Linked DNA regions of Drosophila melanogaster. Changing the gene in region 2 together with the main gene of any one other region gives a genetic interaction. Each region holds a gene or a part of one and is shown on either strand. Other genes may lie near its edges. The genes, in order: fog, Ptp52F, Ptp10D and Lar.

What was found.
Region 1: of Ptp52F (region 2) and fog, changing one suppresses a phenotype caused by changing the other (phenotypic suppression), as found in Drosophila melanogaster (2 studies listed by BioGRID).
Region 3: of Ptp52F (region 2) and Ptp10D, changing one enhances a phenotype caused by changing the other (phenotypic enhancement), as found in Drosophila melanogaster (one study listed by BioGRID).
Region 4: of Ptp52F (region 2) and Lar, changing one suppresses a phenotype caused by changing the other (phenotypic suppression), as found in Drosophila melanogaster (one study listed by BioGRID).

What each region holds. Positions count from the first base shown.
Region 1 is NC_004354.4:22,852,161-22,856,985, forward strand, and holds the start of fog (folded gastrulation), read right to left. Parts: upstream 3,035-4,825; 5' UTR 2,883-3,034; exon of another isoform or gene 1,647-2,882; intron 1-1,646. UniProt on the Drosophila melanogaster protein: Coordinates cell shape changes during formation of the ventral furrow and invagination of the posterior midgut primordium, by inducing apical constriction of cells in spatially and temporally defined manners.
Region 2 is NT_033778.4:16,172,260-16,179,847, forward strand, and holds the start of Ptp52F (protein tyrosine phosphatase 52F), read right to left. Parts: upstream 6,049-7,588; 5' UTR 5,913-6,048; intron 4,416-5,912; 5' UTR 4,395-4,415; coding exon 4,262-4,394; intron 4,110-4,261; coding exon 3,974-4,109; intron 3,913-3,973; coding exon 3,800-3,912; intron 3,740-3,799; coding exon 3,227-3,739; intron 3,163-3,226; coding exon 3,010-3,162; intron 2,945-3,009; coding exon 2,657-2,944; intron 2,593-2,656; coding exon 2,282-2,592; intron 2,208-2,281; coding exon 2,039-2,207; intron 1,972-2,038; coding exon 1,849-1,971; intron 1,784-1,848; coding exon 1,466-1,783; intron 1,393-1,465; coding exon 1,051-1,392; intron 982-1,050; coding exon 378-981; intron 319-377; coding exon 119-318; intron 58-118; coding exon 1-57.
Region 3 is NC_004354.4:11,620,037-11,625,022, forward strand, and holds the start of Ptp10D (protein tyrosine phosphatase 10D), read left to right. Parts: upstream 1-1,978; 5' UTR 1,979-2,149; exon of another isoform or gene 2,150-2,321; intron 2,322-3,716; exon of another isoform or gene 3,717-3,793; 5' UTR 3,794-4,066; coding exon 4,067-4,180; intron 4,181-4,986.
Region 4 is NT_033779.5:19,604,929-19,609,616, forward strand, and holds the start of Lar (Leukocyte-antigen-related-like), read left to right. Parts: upstream 1-1,640; 5' UTR 1,641-2,153; intron 2,154-4,688. UniProt on the Drosophila melanogaster protein: Possible cell adhesion receptor. It possesses an intrinsic protein tyrosine phosphatase activity (PTPase). It controls motor axon guidance. In the developing eye, has a role in normal axonal targeting of the R7 photoreceptor, where it negatively regulates bdl.

The DNA.
Region 1 (4,825 bases), on a different chromosome or scaffold from region 2:
TTTTTCGTGTAAGTGGAGGTCGTATATTGCCATCGGTTTTTGGTTTTCGGCTTTTGGGCCCTCAGGCACGTACTGCCCTATGGATCGACCGTTTAATGCTGTTTGCCCCGATGCAGCTGAATCAATTTTACCACGGCTGCATAGCCATGGGCACAAGGGACTCAAGAGCCTCGAAAATAATTTCGTGATAGATTCGTTTTTTTTTTCGGTTGCTGATTTCATTCCACGTTCCCGGGGGGGTATCAACATAGGCATAAATATATGTATGTCCGGAAGACAATAGCTGTATAGATAATTTGAATCGGATAATTATTTTAGGAGTTATGGCTGAGTGACGGCTATCTGATAGTCGAGGCAATCGAAGCGAACTCTATCTATATAGTATTCATACATATGTATGTATACGTACCATCACAATACCCGTAATTTAATTTTCGTGCCGTCTGTAACACTTTCTATTGCTGATAATGACTTTTGGAGCATTTTGCGGGCGTTTTGGAACTTGCACAAAAAACATTTTGTAATTCATGTCTGCGCAAAAACAAATAAAAGAACGAGTCCACGGAAAAATTTACTAAATACACACATAAATATGGCCATTTTTCTCAGTGTGCATGTCAACAATTTCCCAGTCACTTGAGTGCTTGGCCACCCTTCCAGCTCTTTATTTTTTGGACAGTCGGTTAAATGCAATTAACTTGGTTACACTTTCATGCGGGAATAAAATTTTGGTACCGAAATTCGTTCATGGTTTGCTTTTAGTTTTCCATTTTAAGCCGCAATATATTTTGCGTCCAGCGGAAGTGATCACTTTGCCACATTGGCGCTGATAGTCACCGCGTGACTTCATCGGCATTATCATCATCATGTCCATTACCAGCGAACTCATGGAACTCACCTCTGTAAACATAATCGTGAACTCACTTGTTTGGCAAATGTTTGAGAGCGAACCCCGATAAGACACCTAATGCGCCTCGAATTGGTGTAGTTCGATTGTTTTGGTTGCATGATGACACTAAGGTCAGTTGTCATCCATTGTGGTCACGTCGTGAAATTGGTTTTTGCAATAACTAGTAAGGCGCTTGACCAGATTGAGAAATGTGCACGTGTCTATTGTTGTTCAAGAAGTGATTAAAAATGCTTTTAATATTTATCAGTTCGCTTTTAGGGAAACTATACCTACTCGTCAGTCAATGGCATGAGCCCAAACATATTCATGCTGAATCCATTTGGACGCGTAATAGCTACTTCGAAAAGCATTAGACTAAATACCTCCCGATTTGGTCATTTAAGATCTCAAGAGCCAGCTCTGTATCTGCAGAATGGCTAGATTTCCCACATCCGCAGAGTCAGAAGGTCAGCATCGGGCGTGAGACCGGAAAAACCGCTAGGATAAGCCCACGAAAACGAGACATCCTGATACCCAGGAAATAATGAAGCAGGATAATAAGGAGTACCAGAAACGAGATACTGTGGGTTTCGAATCTGTTATCCAAATTTTCTGGGCTGTATACATTTCGCTGGCTTCCTTTCAATTTAATTTGCATTAAGAAACAAGTTTCGCAGCGCAAAGTAATAATGGGTTATTCGATGGGCATTATAAAACACACATAAACGTTAAATAAAAATACATACAATCCACTTACTTTTGCTGTTTTATATCCCAAAACAAAGATGCCGAAGAAGGTGCGCTGCTTTTGCTTTTAGTTGCTTCTTCTTTGTCTTTTCCCCACTTTTGTTTTTCTTTGATTGTGGGTTAATATCAAGTTGTTGTAAAAATAAATTAGCATACAAATAAATAATAAACACCACAAATTGGCTCGTTTTGAATTTCGATTTGATGGCGGTTGAGCTTAATTTTTTGTTTGGTTTATTAAGAATTTTATATGTATGTGTTGATTGGCTTGCTGGTAAGAGCCAGTTCAAACTTGTAAGATACTAAATTTTTTTCAGTTGCTTAAAGTTTTCCCGTCGCTGGCTGCCTTTCATTTTTCGCTGCAGTTGTTAGGCTCATTAGGACAACACGGTTTTGTATTCGATTTTGTTGATTTATCTATTTTATTTCTCCAACTGTATCACATGTATTATCATATAATTCACAAAGACTTTTGCGCACACGAAAAAAAAACACACTACAACAAATCGACTTCAAAAGGTATCAATGGTAACATCCTGTTTGGGAAAAACGAAAGAGAATTATTTTGTATGCAACATTGAGTGCAATTCAAAAATAATGCCTACATGTGCACCGAAAATAGCTTAAGATTGTGAAATATTGTAGATATTTAATATATATCATTGTGAAATAACGTTAACTAAATATTTATAACTCAAAGCTAAGCTTCAAATTATGGTTGGTACTAGTATTTTAAAGTTGATCTCGGGTTTTTCAGTAGGCGAATCTATATGTACGGCGCACATATATTTTTAAGATTATAAATTATCGGACGCCTGTTGCTGTAAAGACAACAACAAGTACAACGACAACTGTTTCACAATGTAGTATAAACACAAAAGCGTAGTATATTTATACATGCCTCGTAGTATGTATTTTATTTTATTCTACTTTATTTTCACTTCGTTCGTTCTCTCTTTCCTGTTTCCTTTTACAGATAAGCATTCGAATGTTTTTTTGTTTTGTTTTAGTTTAGGTTCTTGTTCAAATTCAAATTAAAATCGGGTCAAATTTAGATAAAATAAAAGCACACGAAGAAACGTTTTTAAGGGACACAATCAGAAGATATTTATGTATATTACAAATTTATATTCCCATGTTACTATTTGCTTTTAAGTTATATGCGCCACGTTTTGACCGATTGCACATGTCTCTTAAATATCGAATTTATGTTACAAATTCAATCGAAATGATAGTGTTACTTTACTTTTTTCATTTGCTACTATTGTTGGTGATTTTTATCCGCTTTCTTCCCCCCTCATTTCTTTTAAGTTTTTTTTTTTGAAGAGACTGTAGCGGGCGGACAAGAGAACACGCACCGTTACCGATCACGTTCACAGTTGTTTTTTGAATGAGAAGCGGCTTCGAAACGTGTCGTCGCAGGCGTCGACGTCGGCGCCGCAGTCGCTGCGACAGACAGAGAGTGGTCAGATATAAATATACATGTACTGTATATATGTATATGTACGCGCGTTCGACAATGATCTTAGCCGAGAGAAAAGAGCCGATGCGCGGCATTAGGGAACTCTTTTCAAAGAGCGCGCTGAAGCCGCGCTCAGTTTTCATTGCTCTTAAGTTGCAACTGCACAAAGAAATCATTTTGCTGTTTTGATCGTGCATTGTTTTGAGTATGTATGTCATTAATTTAAAACAAGAGAGAACGCTATAGTCGAGTTCCCCGACTATCAGATACCCGTTATTCAGCAAGTCCAAGTGGGACGAGACTTTTCAACATTTTTCACGAACATTAGTAGAAATTGGTGGGAAAAAATTAATTTTAATTCTCTAAGGTCTGGGCAGGATATATTGGGCGGTTTAAGATAGCATATCTTCGGCATATCTATAAATTGGAAAAACAACTGGTTTAATACAAAAAAATTAAATCATTTCTCAAAAGTGTGGGAGTGTCAGTTTTGGTGCATTAGAGTGGGAATTTTTATCATATCGATAAAAATTAACAAGAGTCATAGAAATATGGAAAACTATCAAAACATTATGCAAAGGTGTGAGCGTGGCAGTTTTGGGAGGTTTGTGGGCGTGGCATCATGGGGAACAAACTTTCGCTGCGTCTAATGTCTCTAGAATCTAGCTTTTATATTTTCTGATATCTCGACGTTCATACGGACGGACAGACAGACGGACATGACCAGTTCGACTGGTCCTGATTGATCCTGATCACGATACATATATACACATGTACATATACAAGTACATGTACATATACATATACATATATGGTTGAAAACGCTTCCTTCTCCCTGTTACATTCTTTTTAACGAATCTAGTATACCCTTTTACTCTTCTCGACAATTCTCTTTTCTTTTTTGTTTTTCCCATACATGATTAACATTTTCTTCTGTTATGTTCTCTTGTTCTCAATTAGGGAGATGCTCTCTTTTGGCCGCCTGCAAAGGATGATTAATGATGTTCTCTGCTTTTAATTTTTTCTGAATGCTGCTAGTTGTTCAATTTAAAAAGGCAGTACGGCTCTTCCTGGTAATTTTCCGTTGGCTGTTTGTTTCTATTTACATATGTACTATGTATGTATGTATGTACCTTATTAAATAAAATTTTTATTTTCAATTTTGTCCGAGTTCGGTAGACCCCTACAGACACTACTAACATTCGGAAATATGTAAGGCTAACTGGAGTGGCCGGCTTAATAAAAATATCTCGGAAAAGCTGGAAAGTCGGAGATGGATTTCCTCGAAACCTAATTGAAGTTGATAGCAGTCATGGTTTTGTTCCCCGTCATCATCATTGGGCACTGAATCGCAAATCGCACTTCTTGGTAATTTTAGCCGCCACTTGAGCCTGTGCCGGTGTTTAGGCCAACATAATGGCCAATTAAGGCCACTTTGTCGTTTACAGCGTTTCAATTTCGATTTGATTAAGGTGAATTCCCTTTATTTTTTATGCAGTGATTCCGGCTAAAATTCATGAATAAAAGCAATTTTATGTAGATGATATAGATCATTACTTTAAAAAATAAATTTACAGAGTTAGCTTAGGGAACTAAAAATGACCACAACTAAACTAAGGGTATTTTGCCAAGTGTACGAATTGGGATCATCCCCATTTCCCTATTCTCTCATTCTTCGCCGTCTTCCCTTCGTATGGACTTATCGATGCGATGGTCAAGTGTGCGGG
Region 2 (7,588 bases):
CATTGATGTAGTCCGATCCCTCCGCATCGATGTCCAGAATCACGCGATTCTTGTCATCTATTAAATGGGAAAAAATGTGGTTTCCCATAATGGTTATTGCTACATTGAAGTTACTCACAAGGAAATATGTCCGCATAGCGATTCTTGTGGCAACCCAATTCGGAGGCGGAATAGCTGAGCTCCAAGGCCACAACGGTGATCTCCTTGAACTCCCTGGCCAGTTTCTCCGGCTTGGCAACTTCGGTATAAAAGATGGCAAAGTTCTTGGCAATGACATTGCCAAATGGATCCTCGATACCCTGACCAGAATCACGTTTCCTGCACCAAACGAAGTTAAGTTCTTTTTTCTCTCGTGAAGATTGCCATCGTTGACTTACCAGGCCAATCGCTTGCGCACCCAGAGAACCGTCAAACCAAGTACGAAGGCCAGCAGCAGGCAACTGCAAACGCTCACCAGGATCAGGGTCACCTTGATGGCCGCCTTGGTCTTAAAGTTGAGTACGGCGGCATCGCTATAACCAGATGCGGTGAACAGTCTCACCACAACATTGTAATCCGTGTCTGGTAACAAAGGTCCATTGCAATACGTTTTCTGAACCTCCGAACACTTGTCCAATCCGATGGTAAAAACAATTTCCTCATCGGATGTCACCTCTCCATCCCTTCGCTGACGTTGAACGGGTTCGGGATGCCAGCGCTCCTCGGTGGTTTGGTACTCCAGACTGCAGTCACCTGTGCCATCTGCGCCGGCCTCTTGATAGGATAGAACCTTTGGCCAATCGCTGCTGACATCGTATTTGAGGTGTGGAACTCCAGCACAGTTCTTTTGCGAGATCATCAGTGCCATCCACTTGATGTCGCCGGATGCGGATGTCATGATGTCGGCTGGAAGGCGAACAATGGCCGTTTTCGTTGGATTAGATGTCTCCTCGACATTGGCGCGCATTTGCTTGATAAGCTCATCACTCGGAATGGTGGGCACTGAAAGAGAAGATACACGAATGGGAATCAATGGATTACGGATTACTTTTCCGTTATTTCGATACTTACGTCCCGCTGGCGATTGCCAGCTACCCGGTACACTGCTGCTCAACTGTTCCACATCGCGATTCTTTACGGACACCTCAACCGTATAGTCGAACTGTGGCTGCATTTCCGTTTCCGTGTAGGACATCCGTCCCTGCTTATTCCCCGTGTCCAGTTCCACCCGCCGTTCAAATGAAACTGGAGCGAAGTTATTTCGTGTGCCATTGAAAGCCAGCTGGAAATACTCGATATCGCCATTGGACTTGCAGGGCACCTTCCACGTGATAGTCACGTTCGCTTCGTACACGGCGTTATTGTTCACCGGACCCTGGGTTAGTACGGTCAACTGGGTCACGCTATCGGATACTACAAGATACGAAATATTTACATTACTCATATTACTCATATAAAGATATTCCATCTATTCATCTTAACTCACCTGCTGGCAAAGTGATACCAATTACGGGTTCTGTATAGACGCCCATTCCGAAGTCATTTTGTGCCGCAACTTGCATCATGTATCGCACAGCTGGAGCCAGACCCGTGAAGTTTACACTAGGATCACCCTTGGTCTCCGACTTGGTGTCCTGCTCGACTATCGCGCAATCCGCGGGCACAAAGTAGCTGGCCTCGTGACGCATCAGGAATGCCTGGTAGTACTTGATGGGTCCGTTTGTGTAGGTGGGCGGTTGCCAGTTGAACAGCAGGCTGCTGACAGTGCTCTTCTCCAGCATCACACTCTCCGGCTGCTCGGGAACTGAAAACACAGATCAACTTACATATGAACTTCATATATACATATGTATATAATGTAGGTCTTACAGTAGGTTGTGGTGTGCATATCAGCATCGACAACTGGTTCGGAAGGTCCTGCCACATTGTAGAGTATTACTTTGCAAACGTAGGTGGCGTAGGGGGAAAGTGGACTTAGACTGGCATTAAAACCTGAGAATGGAATATGAATTAGAATAGCCATCTGGATACCGAATGACTGGATGACCAGTACACCCACCTTGTTTGCTATGTCCCTCCACATAACGCTCCGCGTATGGATTTCGCACCTGGGTGGTGGCATTGCACGTGAAGAGCGCAAAGATCGTCGGACAGGAATTGTTGTAGTCCGCATTGAAGGCGATTAAATCAATAAATTCGGAGCCAGCATTCTTCATTTCCAGCTTGACCTTCAATAAAATGCTTGCAGTCAGTAAGAAATGGTCAAATGGATACGAAATATACGTAAAATAGTCCTTAGTACCTTAGTGTAATCAACTATAGCTGCTTTGGTCTCCACACCAACCTGTCTCAGCTGACCATCGAGGTTCTCCTTGGTGTATGGGATTATCTGAATGATGTACACCTGACAGGCCAGCAGATTCTTGTCGAAAACAACCGTCGTATTCTGGGTGGTAATACTAAGTGCTTCAACCTCAACCAGCTTATCGTCCTCCATCCAGCCGGACAATCGGTAGCCATCGATGCAGAGATCGGCGTACTCGGGCGTCTTCCAGCTCACCTCCATCGAGTAGGCTTCTGCTTCCACGACGGGATCTTGAATCACAGATGGCTCTACAAGAAGATAATCATAGTAGATAGATAGATGTTGGATGAGTTGAAGCGCACTTGCACTCACGATCCTCGCCCACGGTGCTCTGCTCCTGGTACTTGGTGCCAGCGCTTCCATTTAGCTGATTGGGCACAATCTCCACCAAATATATTCCACACGGATCAAGGTCGTCGAAGATAGCGAATGTCTCCTCTGTGATCACATTCATAGTTTTGTTTTCCGATCGTTGAATGGGTCCGGTCAGCGTTACACTATAGTTAGCCACACATTTGGGATGATTTTGTGGAGAGAACCAAGTCCAATGCAACTGGGTGGGATAGGCGGTGGGACTGGGTTCATAGACGGCACTGACCACTAAACATTTGAATTATGGTGATTTATGGTTTACTTGGATAGCTGGTCTATCTAGTTGCACTCACACTTTTCTGCCGAAGTAAAAGTCTGAGAAGCCTTGGCCGTGCTGTTCTCGTTGATGAAAACCTGAAAGGTGTACAAATCACATCCTTGAAGATCGGTCAGGAGGTACTCCCTCAGCTTGCCATCGGAGGAGACATCGGTCCACTCGCACTTAACTGATGGGAAGAATAAAACACATATGTATTTCAAAAGAGGTTATAAGAGGAACCTAGAGTCTACCTTCATCACTGGGCGTATCGGGTGTGGTCTCCATTGGTGTGGTGGTAACGTAGTCAATCTCGTTCGTAGTTTCCGTACTGGGCACATCCGTGGTGGTATCCTGATTTTGATCCGTTCCGCAATCGTTGCGTTGCCACTTGAAGACATAGTTACTGATGCAGTTCTTCTCGGAGGGATCTCCCCACGTGATCATCGTGATGCCACTGGCTAGGTTCGTTACGTTCATGACGAGATCGCCGGGCTCCGCGTACTGTGTGTCCACATCGGTGGCATCCGTGTCCACCACAACGCTAGCGTTGTTTCGCGTGTCCAGGGTGATCGTGTGCGTTAGGCAGGCGCTTAAATTCACGAAAGTCTGAGAACTTTTATCGTTTAGCAGCTGAAAGGATTTGGTGTAGTCCGTCGCCTTTGCCGTGATGCCAAAGGACTCCACACAGGCGCGGTCGTTCGTCTGCCAGGTCACTTTGATGGTGTTCGCTGTGGCCACCACTGAGGTCACTGTGGTCTTGGGCTCTGCGATTAAAGATGATATGGTTTATGGTTTTCATAGTTAGCATTTTTATATAAACATACGCTTATATTCAGTGTAGGCATAGATGGTTTGGTCAGAAGGCGGTGGTTTGCCGGAGACATTCGAACGGAATGAAACCACCGATGTGTAGAAGGTGCAAGGATTAAGGTTTTCACTGGAAATCATAGGCATTATGTTAGTCCGCGATATCATTTCACTCAAAACATTCTACGAACCAAACGTGCGCTGCGTTGGCCTCGGTTTCCGATCCGGATCCATTGCGACAGATCACCTTATCGATGGAGTAGTCCGCCTCGTTGGAGATGCTAAAGCCGAGTGTGTAGACCGTAGAAACCACAGTCACCTCCACCTCTGGAATATTGGTAATACATATAGCTTTTTATAGGCTAAAACAAAACTGGATGCACTTAGGATTTGAAAAGTATCTTATATCAGTGTATCTTATATTAATATCATATTATCAGTGACATCCATATGCTTATTTTTCAAAGAGTAATACTTACTCTCCGCCAGTTCCTGGCTCTCACTCACTGCCACCAGGGAACCAACGGTTTGTCCTTGCACCCCAGCGATCCAAAGGATAAGGATTAGTGCGTGAATCCTTCGATGCGATTGCTTCCAATTTGTGGCTTCCATCTTAGGGCCTCATTGCTTCTGCTGCTTTTTGCGGTGAGTAATGATGCGTTATTAATTATTAATAACAAATTGTTATCGGCGGGGAGCTAATGCAACCGGTTCCTGCGCGGGATTTTCCGCGAAGCATTAACCTCGCCCAATTGCAAAGCACTTGGCTCGCATGCACACTGTTCATTTGTTTATAAACACAAAACACAACAAATAAGAGTTCACTGGACGTGGGCAAACGAAAGGTGATTGGTCATAAACAATTAGTGGCCGCCGAACTTTTGCATATCTCGCGATGTGGGAAACGATTCTGGATCTCCCCGAGTTGCTGACCAGCGCAACAAAAATTAAATGTAATACATACAACTTCCAGCGAGCGATTTATGATCATTTCACAAATACCACACGTAAGTGGAAAATGTAAAAAAATAAACGAAATGGTCGAGATACCAAAAAAAAAAAATAAAAAGGGGGTTATCTCAATGTCGTGGCTTACACCCAAAGCCTTTTAATGCGGCGGAAATTCATGAGAATGAAGTTGGAAACTCCAGCAATGTCATGTCGCAATATTCTCTGAATTTTTTGTTGGATTTTTTGGATCCCTAGAATCTTATCAAGCCACTTCACAGGCTGGAGAAGTGGCCAGCAGATATAGATACAGATAGTAATCTGGCTTGTTGGACAACCCAATAATAATCGAACAAAATTAACGACAGATTCGCTAAAATCGCAGAGAATCGCCGACGACGATCCTCGAATTCGAATCGCGGCTCTGTTTGCAATCCCATCACGCAGTCGCAAATGGAATGGGTATAGCAATAGATATATAGATATAGATATATAGACTATATTGCCGATATGCTGAGTGCGTCATCGAAGAGCTTGCTAATCGAAAGAATTCCGTACCCTCAAATTGGCAGCACTAATTACTAATTTCAGTTGTCGCTGCCGGCAACGGAAGCAAGCGAAGAAGACAGCTCTTCTTTGGAGCAAATAAAAAAAATGACACTTTCCGATCATTATTAATGGGTTTGGTTATCAGAAAGTGTGGCAATGGAACGTTGACAATTTGCCAATGTCTGTGCCCGATTGTTTAAACAAATCGCAGCGCGCCGAGGTTTTCCAAAACACCAAGTAAGCCAATAATAACAATTTAACGTTTACAAACGAACAAGCGGCCTTTATCATCGGCATATAATCATCAGAGTTGTCGGTCTGATAACAGCCATACGGTGCTGGCTCATAAATGGCTTTCGATTTCGCCAGTTAAACGCTAATGTGGCCAAGAGGATCGGCTACCGCAGGATTAGCAAGCATTGCTAAACTGAATCATATTTAACATATATCTATAGAGCCATAGAATTGGCTGATATAGCGGCTATATCGATATAATGTAATGCGTACAAAATGGCTGATTAAATCTCAAACACTGATAACACACAACGAGTGCCCAAATTTGGCAAATGATTTACATTATTCGGCAATTTTCCCAATGAGCGATTGAGATTGTGTACGATACGCTGCACTCACAGGTGACAGATGGTTGCTAATTGTTGTTGCTGTTTCGCGAATATTTGGGCGCACCAACTATGAATAACGAATGTGTGTGTGTCGCCCGAAAATCAGTAAACTAATAACCGTTTCCGCTGAGCGATTCTCGAATACTGAGCGCCAAAGGGAGCACTCCATAAATCGGTTGTGTTGTGTTCTGGCGCTGTGTGAGCGGTGATAAGGAAAGTTTACTCCCATCGCGAATGTGTGTGTAAGATAACAACAAAGTCGGTTTACAATTAGCAAACTGCAGTGTTGACTATCGAATTGGGATGTGTTATAAATAAATAGCAATACTTATATGGCATAAATAATTGGAAACCCATTTTGTTCACTCACGGATAGGCGTTGTGGTTCCGCAAAAAAAAAGCTGACGAAGGTCCATTTCCTTATCAGCATTTTAAATAGCGCGCCAATTTTTTAAGCTGTTCACACTGCGCTTGCATGGAAGTAGGGCTTAAGTTATGGCAACTCGTTCTTTACTCAATGGTTTCAGTCCTTAGGTCTTATATAAGATATAAAAAGTATTTAGAAGTTATTATACATATTTTTATTAACATTTTTCTACATTCCTAGTCACATCGATAGCTAATCGCTGTCATCGATAGTCCCGTGATGTTTTTTGAGCTGCTTCCACTGCGGTCACACTAATCGAAGCATTTTCGTCCGCTCGTCACTTTTCTGCGTAATTCTTTTCGTATATTTCGATTAAACATAAATAAATAAGCGTAATTATAAATATATGAAATACTAAATTGTTGTAAGTAACGTTCGCTGCATAATAAGAACAAACACCGAGTCGCCGCGTTGTAAATAGAACACCCAAGCAAAATGGATTTTTCGCAACCAACCCGTGTAATGGGCTATTGGGAGAAATGAAGAAAAAAAAACGTCATATGTACAAAACTGCCAATGGCAAAGTGTTAGTTCGCGCATTATGTACCAAGCATGTCGGTTGGAGTCGGAAAATATAATATACTATATGTGCGCTTGGATATTTGTCCTTTTTCCCCATTATGCATATTGCCTTTGGGACATTTCTTTCTCTTGGCCCCCTCTCTCTATCCAAGATGGCCGTCGTAACAGTATTTTCGTTCAAACTGTTGTTGTTATTGTGTTTGTTATTGAAAAGAGAATGAAAAAACAAGCGAAAGAGTTATGCAAATTATGCACAAAAAAAGTAGTGTGTTGAACAAAAAGACGATCAGTAAATAAGTGGAGAAACGAACTATGATTACATTTTATTTACAACCACCAGAAAGCGATGACACATCGAGTGCGTTGGTGTGCGTGCGCGAGTGTGTGTGTGTGTGCGAGTGACGATGTCTGTGGATTTTCGCGCATGTTTGGAGTCCTCCCCCTCGCCAAAAGTAGAATTGATCGATTTTTAGCCAAGTCGAGTCCCCGAACTGGCCGATTCCTTGCATATATGTACTTCCCGTTCCCCCATAGGCCAACAACACCTATTACTGGGCAAACCAGTTCTGCCAATGCACAAGAAATCTCGTTTTATTTTCTTCGTTGTGCTTGTGTAGTTGTTTTTGTTTTTTTTTTACAGTTTTCCGTTTTGGGCTTTTTTGCTGCGGCATTCTTTTAGATATTCAAGACCCGTTGCGATTTCCCAGAATGTGTGGAAAGCGCTCCTGACACTGCAA
Region 3 (4,986 bases), on a different chromosome or scaffold from region 2:
TTAATAGTTAAACAAACGGATGTTGCAATCGATGGAAATTAAACGCTCGCTTTTAGTTTTGCCGTCTCGCTCGAAGAAAGAAAGAGGACTACATATGTACAGTCAAACTAATCCAAGTCAAACTCTTCAGTCTCAGAATTGGAGACTTTATTAAAGGTTTTTTATTTTATGAAGAATAGCATATTATTTTTATATATATATATTTATGTATATATATTTATATCACAAATCTCCTTCGATATCCCTTTGTAATCTATAAAAACACTTCCAGGCGCAGCTTTATTTTTCAACAGTTTTAATTTTGGGAACTTTACAAAGCATATAAGCATACCCCAAATCCATATCCTTATAAACTTTGTAGTTATTACAAATGTGTTCAAAATTAAAAAAAAAGTTTGTCATCCAAAATCCAATCCGCTAAATACAATATAATCATTTTAATTGATCTATGTTACACTTCTATAATGTCTACTGGACAAAATATGATTAAGTTGAAATTTCAAAGTGTTTTTGAAGTTCGTACTAGCGAAGTTTGGCTGTAGTTCAATACTCACAGAAAGGGAGCGAGACATATTCCCATCTCGCTCCGACCTGTTATCAAAGCCTTTGCCATTGTCCTTGGCGTTGCGTTCTTATCACCGGCGTATCGGAGGGAATATATGATTTTTTTTTCGGCCAAGTGGTTCTAGTGGTAAATATGAGGCGGTGGGTGGTTTCGGGGGGTTTGGGGGAACGGCGGTTGGTGATGGGCGCAGAGAAGGCGGGAGGCGGGGGGGAACACGTTTCGTTATTTTTTGTTTTATAGCGAAATTCCTCTAGCTATAAATGTATGCATACATATATGCTATTAACTTTTCGTTTAGCTCAATTTTTTGTTTGTATTTTTAATTATAACTCGGTTTGTCTAGTGTGTAATTAAATTAAAAGTCCAATGCTAATTCCCCAGCGAATCGTTCAGTGTTTGTTCAAACGAGTTGTGCTCTTTAAACACTTTTGGCTTATCCTTTCATTTAATTTTTGTTTGTTTTCCTTGCGTTGTTATATGTCCAAATAAAAATGAAAGTTTGAATTGTTTTTTTTTAGTAATTTAGTTTTAACTGTAATGTCAAATGTCAAGAGGTATACTCTGTATAAGAATAATAATGTGTAATGTAATTTTTAGAACTTGCTAATCTCTAGCAATTAAAACATAGCCTGTAATTAACAATAATTAATTATAATAACCAGTAACAGTTCATGCAAATGAAACCTTAATAAATAATAAATTATATAAAAGAAGATGGAAGTGTTTTCAATCAATGAAGTTACTTCCTATTTTCAGGAGTTGGAATGTTACACTTTTTTATAAGCTGATTTGAAATGCGCGCCACATTATATCTGCCTTGCGCGCACGCATTGCAGCCGAATAACGGCGAATTAACTCCCCTCAGAGGTGAGTTTGAACTATCGATTATAATCGATTGCATTCGGAAACAAAAAACACCTTGAGTTTGGTCAGATCGGTTTTGCGCGGGATAAATAATAAAATATTAAATGTTTTCTTTGTTAACATTTCGCTGTGCATGCTGTCTGGGTACACATATACAGCCTATCGCCTTGGCTCACTAAGCCCATGGCTCAGATGTCCATTTGGACTAACATTTTGTGTGAGTAATTGAATAATAAGAATTACGGAGCTCGGACTTGTAATGGCCGAAGTACTACTGCCGCAATGCTTGGTTCACGTTAAAAAGAATCAAGTGCAACAAATTTAATTGTATTTAACTATTTTATAACCGCGCAGCAAAGTAATGGTTAATTCTGCTTTTAAATAGTTGACAGTTACAAGCGAAACATAGAAGCCGCGCAGGTTCCTATCGATACCATCGCTGGGTCATCGATTATTTGTCCAGCTCTACAGGTGAAACGAGCGTTGGCGATTCCGATTCCGATTCCAATTCCGATTCCAAATTCGACTCCGGACTCGAATCCGATTTGAATCAGATTCCAATTCAGTGTGGTGAAGAGCGAACCGGAGTGCGGACGGTACGGACGCGAAATCTGTTAAGGCGGGCCGCAAAGCAAACGCTCGAAAAACGCAAAATTTGTCGATTGTCCGTTCCGCTTTTTTCTTGTGTCTGTGCTTTGCGTCGCGTGCCTGCGTGTACGTGTAAGTGTGCGTGCGCCTGTGTTTGTTTTTTGTTATTTTTTTTATAACCAACGACAACAACAGAATAGAAGTAAATAAAATACACAAATTAACGGTGTATATATTTAAATGTTTTGGTTTTTTTTAGTGGCGTGCCGAATGAGCAAAATTTGAGAAAAACGCAGTGGAAAACGTAAGAAATGCTGAAATAAAGCTTAAAGTAAAAGCAGAAATTGAGAGTTGTTTGTGTGTGTGTGTGTATGTGTGTGCAATAATAATAACAAAAAATGTTGGCCGAGGGGGGCAGACAGACACAGAGCGAGAGAGGTAGAAGCAACACCTACGCAGCTTTTTTATGTATTATTTCGTTTTTTGGCATGCCGCTGCTTTCTCTCTTTCACACGCAGCCTCATTTGAATATTTTGTTGTTGTGCGGCAAATTTCTCCACTTCCTGTTTCTCTGACGGCATTCAATTTTGGGGGATCATTTTGGCTTGTTTCATAAAATCTCTATTAATGCTGACAATAAGTTGCGAAAAATTTCCAGTCGCATTAAAAAAACTTGTCCCACATTTAACAATAAATAAGAGGTGAAGAAATACGTTTTTAAAAACTTGTTTTGTTTTTGTGTTTTATGTGCCGAGATCATAAAGCTCTCTCTCTCCCTCTCTCCCTCTCTCTCTCTCTTGCTCTTCTCTCTCGACCAGAAGGAAAAAGATCAATCAAATCAATCTGCTCTGCTCTTCTTCTGTCTTCCTCTCTTTGCAACAAAGTTGAAGGTCTTTTCTGCATGACAACGTTGCCAAGCGCAGAAAGCAACAACAAGACAGTGCAACAATAACAAAACATACACAGAACAAAATTAGAGTAGCTTAAAAGGGAACTCCTAAATTAAATTAGTCCTACAGCAGGATTACCAATTCATTACAAGTCTATTCAAAAGATACAAGGACAACATCTTTAATTTTCCAGAAGATATGATACTTGTCAATACAATTTGAATTTTGTGCCGTGTATCGTTTTGATTTCGCAAAACTGGTTTTCAGACGTTTAGTTTTATTTGTTCTTCATATTTATTTGGTTTTTTTGCTGGCTGCGATATTTTAAATATTTCAATGACGTCAGCGCAGGCTAAATTATTGATCAGCAGTATTTTTTTGCAACTGCACAAGACAGTGCAATTAATTAGCACTTGTCTGCGAATTAGATTTAAATGAATTTAATGCATTGCTTAATCACACAGTTCCAGGAATGAAAACTTAAGTAGAACGGGTATTTCAATATTATACTTTACTGCTAGATAAGTAAAATAATTGATATTGATTTATTAAGCAAAGTCTTAACAGTGGTTTTTAAATCTCAAATGTTCAATCAAATTTGCATTTGCCTAGTTCCACTGTGCAGAAATATAGAAACAAGTCGCAGAAAAATATGAAAAAATAGGAACTGAAGCTTTCGGCGCAAGCGCAAAGTGTTGGATAAGCAGAAGAGGAAGCAGAGCAGGTAGAGAGCAGGACAGCGGCACTATCTAGCTGTCTCCCTCTTGCGATCACTCTTTCAGTTATTTTTAATTCATACTCTCTTGCAGATCACAAAATAAAAAACAAACAAAAACAAAACAAGAATATGTTTTAATCAATTCAAATTAAACCAACAAATTGCAAGCAATTGGATTCAGGATAAAAATTTACAAAATTTCACCACACTAACGGGAAAACTGTGAAAACAATGCATTTAATCAAAGTAAAGACTAAACTCGCGCTAAAAATGCCCGAATTCGAAAGAAACTAGCGAAAAGCCCAATTCAAAAATCGCACAATAAATTGCAAAGTCCAAAGCAACAACAACATAGGAACAAATAAAACAAGAAGCAGGCAACAAAAGAGAGCCAGGCGGAGAGGAAAACAACAACGAAAACAGCAAAACGACGGCCCCAAAATGTTGTACCAGCTAAGTAAAGCCACTACTAGAATCCGGCTCAAAAGGCAAAAAGCCGTTCCACAACATCGCTGGCTCTGGAGTTTAGCATTTCTGGCAGCATTTACACTAAAGGTAAGCGAGAGGGCCAACAAAAACATGGCCAAAACACACAATAGCGGGTGGATTTATAGGCCCGTCGAATTACCCGTTTCGGAATCTTAGCTTGGGAGAAACGATTATTCAGGATAATAATAATAATTATTCAGGATACATCAATACAAGAGAAATATGCAAAATTAGATAGGAGTTCAAAAGATATGATAAACAACAATAACCTCGAAATGTGCACAAATAACTTTCTAAATTCGAGGGCTATCGAAACGACAAGGTTCTGCAAACATTGTCCGAAGTTATTTAATTATTTATTTGTGACGACCCCGCCCCCGCCTCGAATTAAACCGCCCACATGGAAATCATCGTCTTCGTCACTTTTGTCTGTGGTCTTTCCCATGTTAATTAAATTCAATTATTTCGCATCGTGTTTGCTTTTCGCCATTGTTTATGCGAATGTATTTGCCTCACTGGACACAGTACTAAAAACAAACAAACAAACAAAGCAACAAACAAACTCCAATCCGATCAAAGACCTTGAGGAAACAACAAACAAAAGCAAGAGTAACAAACAATAACCGAACAAGATTTTGCATTTTGCATCTCAAGTCGTGTGCTGTGCAGATATGAAGTAGAATGCATTTAACAGAAGATGATGACATATTTATACCCTGTACACTCAGAATAATTAAATATAACAAACTTAACAGATAGTTATATTTTCGTTTCAAGGAATTTGTCTAAATACTTTGCATGCCTGGCATTTTTAATTGATACTTCGAGCTGTGTTGCATAATAAGTAATTGCATTGCCGATTCCTCGATGTG
Region 4 (4,688 bases), on a different chromosome or scaffold from region 2:
CTGCTGTGTCGTTTACATATCGTTTTTTGGCCCTCATCTCCTTTTTCTGGGCCACGTCGCGCTGTCTAAACGATTTACGACACTTTGGCCAACTGCCTCACGCACACATTTGCAATATTGTTTGTTTGTAAGTTTGTGTGGGTTGTGCGCGGGCGAGTGTCTGTGATATTAGCATGTAACGAACACACACACACACACACACAGATGCAGGAACAGGAGTTAACTTGGCCAAAAGGCAACACAAAATGCCGCACACGTTCGTTTTTATTATGTTAAATGTCTCCTGGGGCAGGAACATCAGCATCTGCGAGTTGTTTCCATCTGTTCGGTGGCTTTCTGCCTTTTAGCTTTCCTCCCTTCCTTTTGTCTTCTGACTTTTGGTAACTGTCACTTGGCTTGTTACATTTCACATTCACTTAGACTGCAGGATTAAATCTGGAGCGCGCCAAAAATCTAGCTAGCCAGGAAAATTAGCACAGGCCGTTTCTCGCCTTTTCCTGCTCGGCACTGCGCTGGTTCGCCCTTCTGCGAAATATCCTGCCAGCTCGTCCTTTCAGCCGATTTCAGCTTACTGCCCGCCGCTCCAGTTGAAACTGACGACTGGCGAACGACGGTCAAAGTCAATGGCGGGCTTTTCGTGGACGCGATTCGCTTTTCACCTTCGTCGACGGGCTCGGCGCCTAAAAGCCGAACCTTTCCGATTCACCCACGTCGAAAGCTCGTTTAGCCATCTCACCAGGCTCTCTTCGAGCAAGTCCTTGCTGAGAAGGATTGAGTTGCCTTAATCGCAGATTTGCTTCTCTTTGGTTTCATGTTCTAAGCCTCGCAGGTCTCGAATCTCGAAATTGAGTGAGTCTGTTTTGTTGCCTTTGAGCATTTAAAATGCGTTTACATTTCTCATATAAGCCTGTACTCTTTGCGTCTGCAATTCGAGTCCTTTTTAGTTGAGCTATAAATGTTATTACCCAGCAAGCACTTCACTCTAAGAGAAACATTGCTGGTTTTGCTATAAAAGCACTCAGTGATTATCTCAATGTTAAATAAATTAGCTCGAATCGAGCGAGCAGTGTAAACTGGATTTACCATTCCCATACATTTATAAGAATTAAATAATAATTTTTATAATGCTAAAGAAAATCCCAATTTTATATTAAATATAAAATATTTTTTGAAACTCATGCTAAAAATGATGTTTCGTAATTCCTCTCAGTTTATTTTACATTTTTTTCAAATTTATTTTATGTTATTTTATCAAATATTCCTTGCACTCAACTGTTCCATAACATTTTAAACTGAGTGATTTTTGAATGCTATTTAGAATCACTCCGATTTGTGTGCTCTTAACATTTCCCAGAATGGTTTGTCTATTCGATTGAGTTCTGAGTACAAAGTGAGTTCCTTTTGAGTAGCCATCCTTTGGTGTTTCTCTTCCATCGCTCGCAGCTTCGGCTGGCGAATTTCTCGGCTTTTCCGCTCTCCGGAAAAATCCACCACACTCGGCGCTCGGTCGGCGCATCCTCGGGCACGCTGAAGGACTCTTCGGGTCGAGTGGCGACTCACAAACGCACACACTGAACGCGAGGAAAACACGAGCATTGCTGCTAGCAGCCTTAGCCAATCGTAAAAGTTTTGTACGTATTTAGTACAATTTCGGGATTTGGCAGGATGTAACGAGCGTGTAAGAAACAGAGCGCGTCCTTCTCAGCCGTGTGTGTGCGATAATCGGGCAACAAGCAGCGCGACAGCAAATTGTATATTACACAAAATTCGCAAAAAATCCAACGAATCGTTTGAATCCAATTTCGAGTGATATAACATAACCACAGATCGTACTCGGTTATAATGCAATAGCAAAGAGCCGCAGCATTTCGAAAATCCGGCAAAGTGATTTTAGCCAAGTTAACCAAAAACCAAATCGTCGAACTCCTCGGCTTGCCTCGGTTCAACCCCCTTCAACCCTTTCTCCATTAACTCGTTGTTGCCGCTGTACTCGTACATATGTGTGCACTTGTTTTTGTGAACGTGTTTTGCCGCAAGCCGGTTAAAAAATTATTCCCATAATTACACCATCCGAGTTGCAGGCGAGGAACTTCCGCGAAACATAATTACCGAAGAACAACTGACGTAGCCGATAATACCTGGCGGATAAATCGGTAAAATCTAAAGAGAAAACAAACTCTGAAAATTATCAGAAGCCTGGTGTGTGGTGTGTGCGTGTGACCTGGAATTTCCTTATGAATATCGATATATATATGGACTTTATCCTTATCGTCCTGGCCCTGCTAATAAGAAACGGCAATCCTGTGCCGCTGCTCGAGATGGAGATTGAAACGATTGCCCCGGGGAGAAGGGGATTCCTTCGGTCTCCCCATCCTTTCTTCCGTAATAGTGTCGTTTCCTTTATTTGTCCTTTTATGTTTACCTACTTTTTCTTTTTGTGCTCCGTCGTTTCGTCGTGGTTTGGTTTGGTTTGGTTTAGTTTGCTCGCACACAATTGAAAATTCAATTGATTTACAAAATGAAGTTTACTGGTTGGGACGACAGATACTTTTTATCTATTTTCATTTGCAGTTTTACGAGCGAGCAGCTCTTTTTTCGGCCCGCTCCTTTTGGCCTCAAAGCGAAACGGTTGGCAATTTTTCACAGTTCTTTTTCGATTGAGGTCCTGGCGGGGTTTCCTGCAGTTTGGTGCGAAAATAACGCTGCGTCCTGCAAGGATTGTTGTGGCTGATGTTTTCGCTGCCTTCCGATTCGGGTGTGCCGAGAGTGTGTGTTTGTGATTGGAGCGGCCTAAAATCGTTTTAGGACCAGCTGCGAAGTGATTTTCAGCTAAGGCGAAAAAAGGACTGCAGTGTGTGTCCTGTGTGAGTGTGGGTCTGCAGATTGACATAGTTATGTCCTCGGCAAGTAATGGGAAGTTCTTGGCAAGAGCTCAAGAAAATTTAAGTTTGGCCTGGCCTTGCAAAGCTAAATAAGATTCTATATATATAGGTTGTTTTAAAGCCAAAATGTTTACTAATGCTTAAAGCTGTTCTCAAAATGAAGCATTTTTCAATTGACATTATCTGCTATTCAATATTTTCAAGCGAGTTCCTTATTCAGAGCCTTCTGCTCAATTCTCTAGTATAAAATATTATTTTTGAGTAAATTCTCAATAAAACTTATAAAAGTAAATATTCTGAAAAAAAGCCTTTCCAAGTGTTTTGACAAGTATTTAATATTTTCGTTGTAGAAACTCGTACAACACAACTCAACCTAAAATGTCTTTCACCACTTGCCTCAAGGAACTTTCCTCGTTTTTGGTGTCAAGTGTTTTTATTAGAAGCAGAAGCAGAAAGGAGAAAAATTGCCGACGAAGGGGCGAAGTAAAAATTTTTCCTTTCATTCCTTTTTCGATCCAAACTTGAAATGAGGTTTGAAACAAAAACGTTTTTTCTGCGCCAGTGTAAAATAATACGCATACGCCATGTATAACGAATACCCAAAGTAGGCTTCACAAGTGGTAAGGGCTACTTTCTTTGGCAGAAACAGAATCGAAAATCGTAGGATATGGTTGTTAAAAACTATAGGCTATTCTATGGCTTACATTAGCCTAATTGAAATTATATCGCTTGATACATCGTTCGCAGGGCTTGGGGTTAATTAGGTGCTGACCAAGTTGAAATTACTATGTAACTTGTTTATTATATTAACATGTGGTTGCTCCTATTGAATGAAAACAGTAGCTAGATATATATATATATATAGATGGATGGATTGATATTGATAAATGAGAGGGGGCTTAATTTGCTCTTTGCATTTCACAGCGACTCGAACTATCCCCACTCCCATTAGCCCTATGGGCCTCAGTTGGAGCCAAAGCAAAAGGACTAGTACTTCAATGGGCACCCCCCCCCCCCCCACCTTCCATTCTCACTGTTCAAACAGCGTTTTACCATTCGTTCGTCATGCCATCGTTGGCTATATAAAGGCGGCTGATCGGCCACGCCCACTCTTCTTTTTCGCCGCTTGTTGTTGACGTTTACAATTTGGTGTTGAAAACTTCAGCTGGAAATTGGGTAATACTCGTGATGATGGCGTTGGTTGGATGACTGCAGCAATCCTGCATTAAGTACCCTCCTGTGTCTGGATGTCGGTGTGTGTGTGTGTGTGAACGCGAAGGGGTTTGCAACAAAGAAATTTTAATTTATATAGAATGAGTTTGGGGGCGGCAATACCTCCATTTTCCACCACCTCTCTCTCTCCTTTTTTTCGGCTGCAGTCGTCGACATTCCGATGTTCGTGTTCTGTGCTCACAGTGCTCTCACTCACTCACTCGTTCGCACATGGAGACCGAAAAAAATCCAATTATTTTAAAACTTTTGACAACTGCAACAACAAGGCGTTGCAAGGCTATGAAAACAATAAGAAACTGACTGAACAGCCAGAGGCAACAAAAACAATATATGTGTATGTATGTATGTAGGGGAAAGTCGAAAGTCCGCAAAAAATCAAGCAGAAAAATGAGTGTGAGTGCTCGAAAGGGTTGCCAGCCATTATAACTTCACTTGAAAAGTTTAATTGATTTTTACAAGTGCATACATATACATACATACATACATATATATATATATATACGGAGATGGACGCAAAAACATGCATACGTACATATGCCACGGACCTACCTGCAGTCGTGATTCTCGTGATTT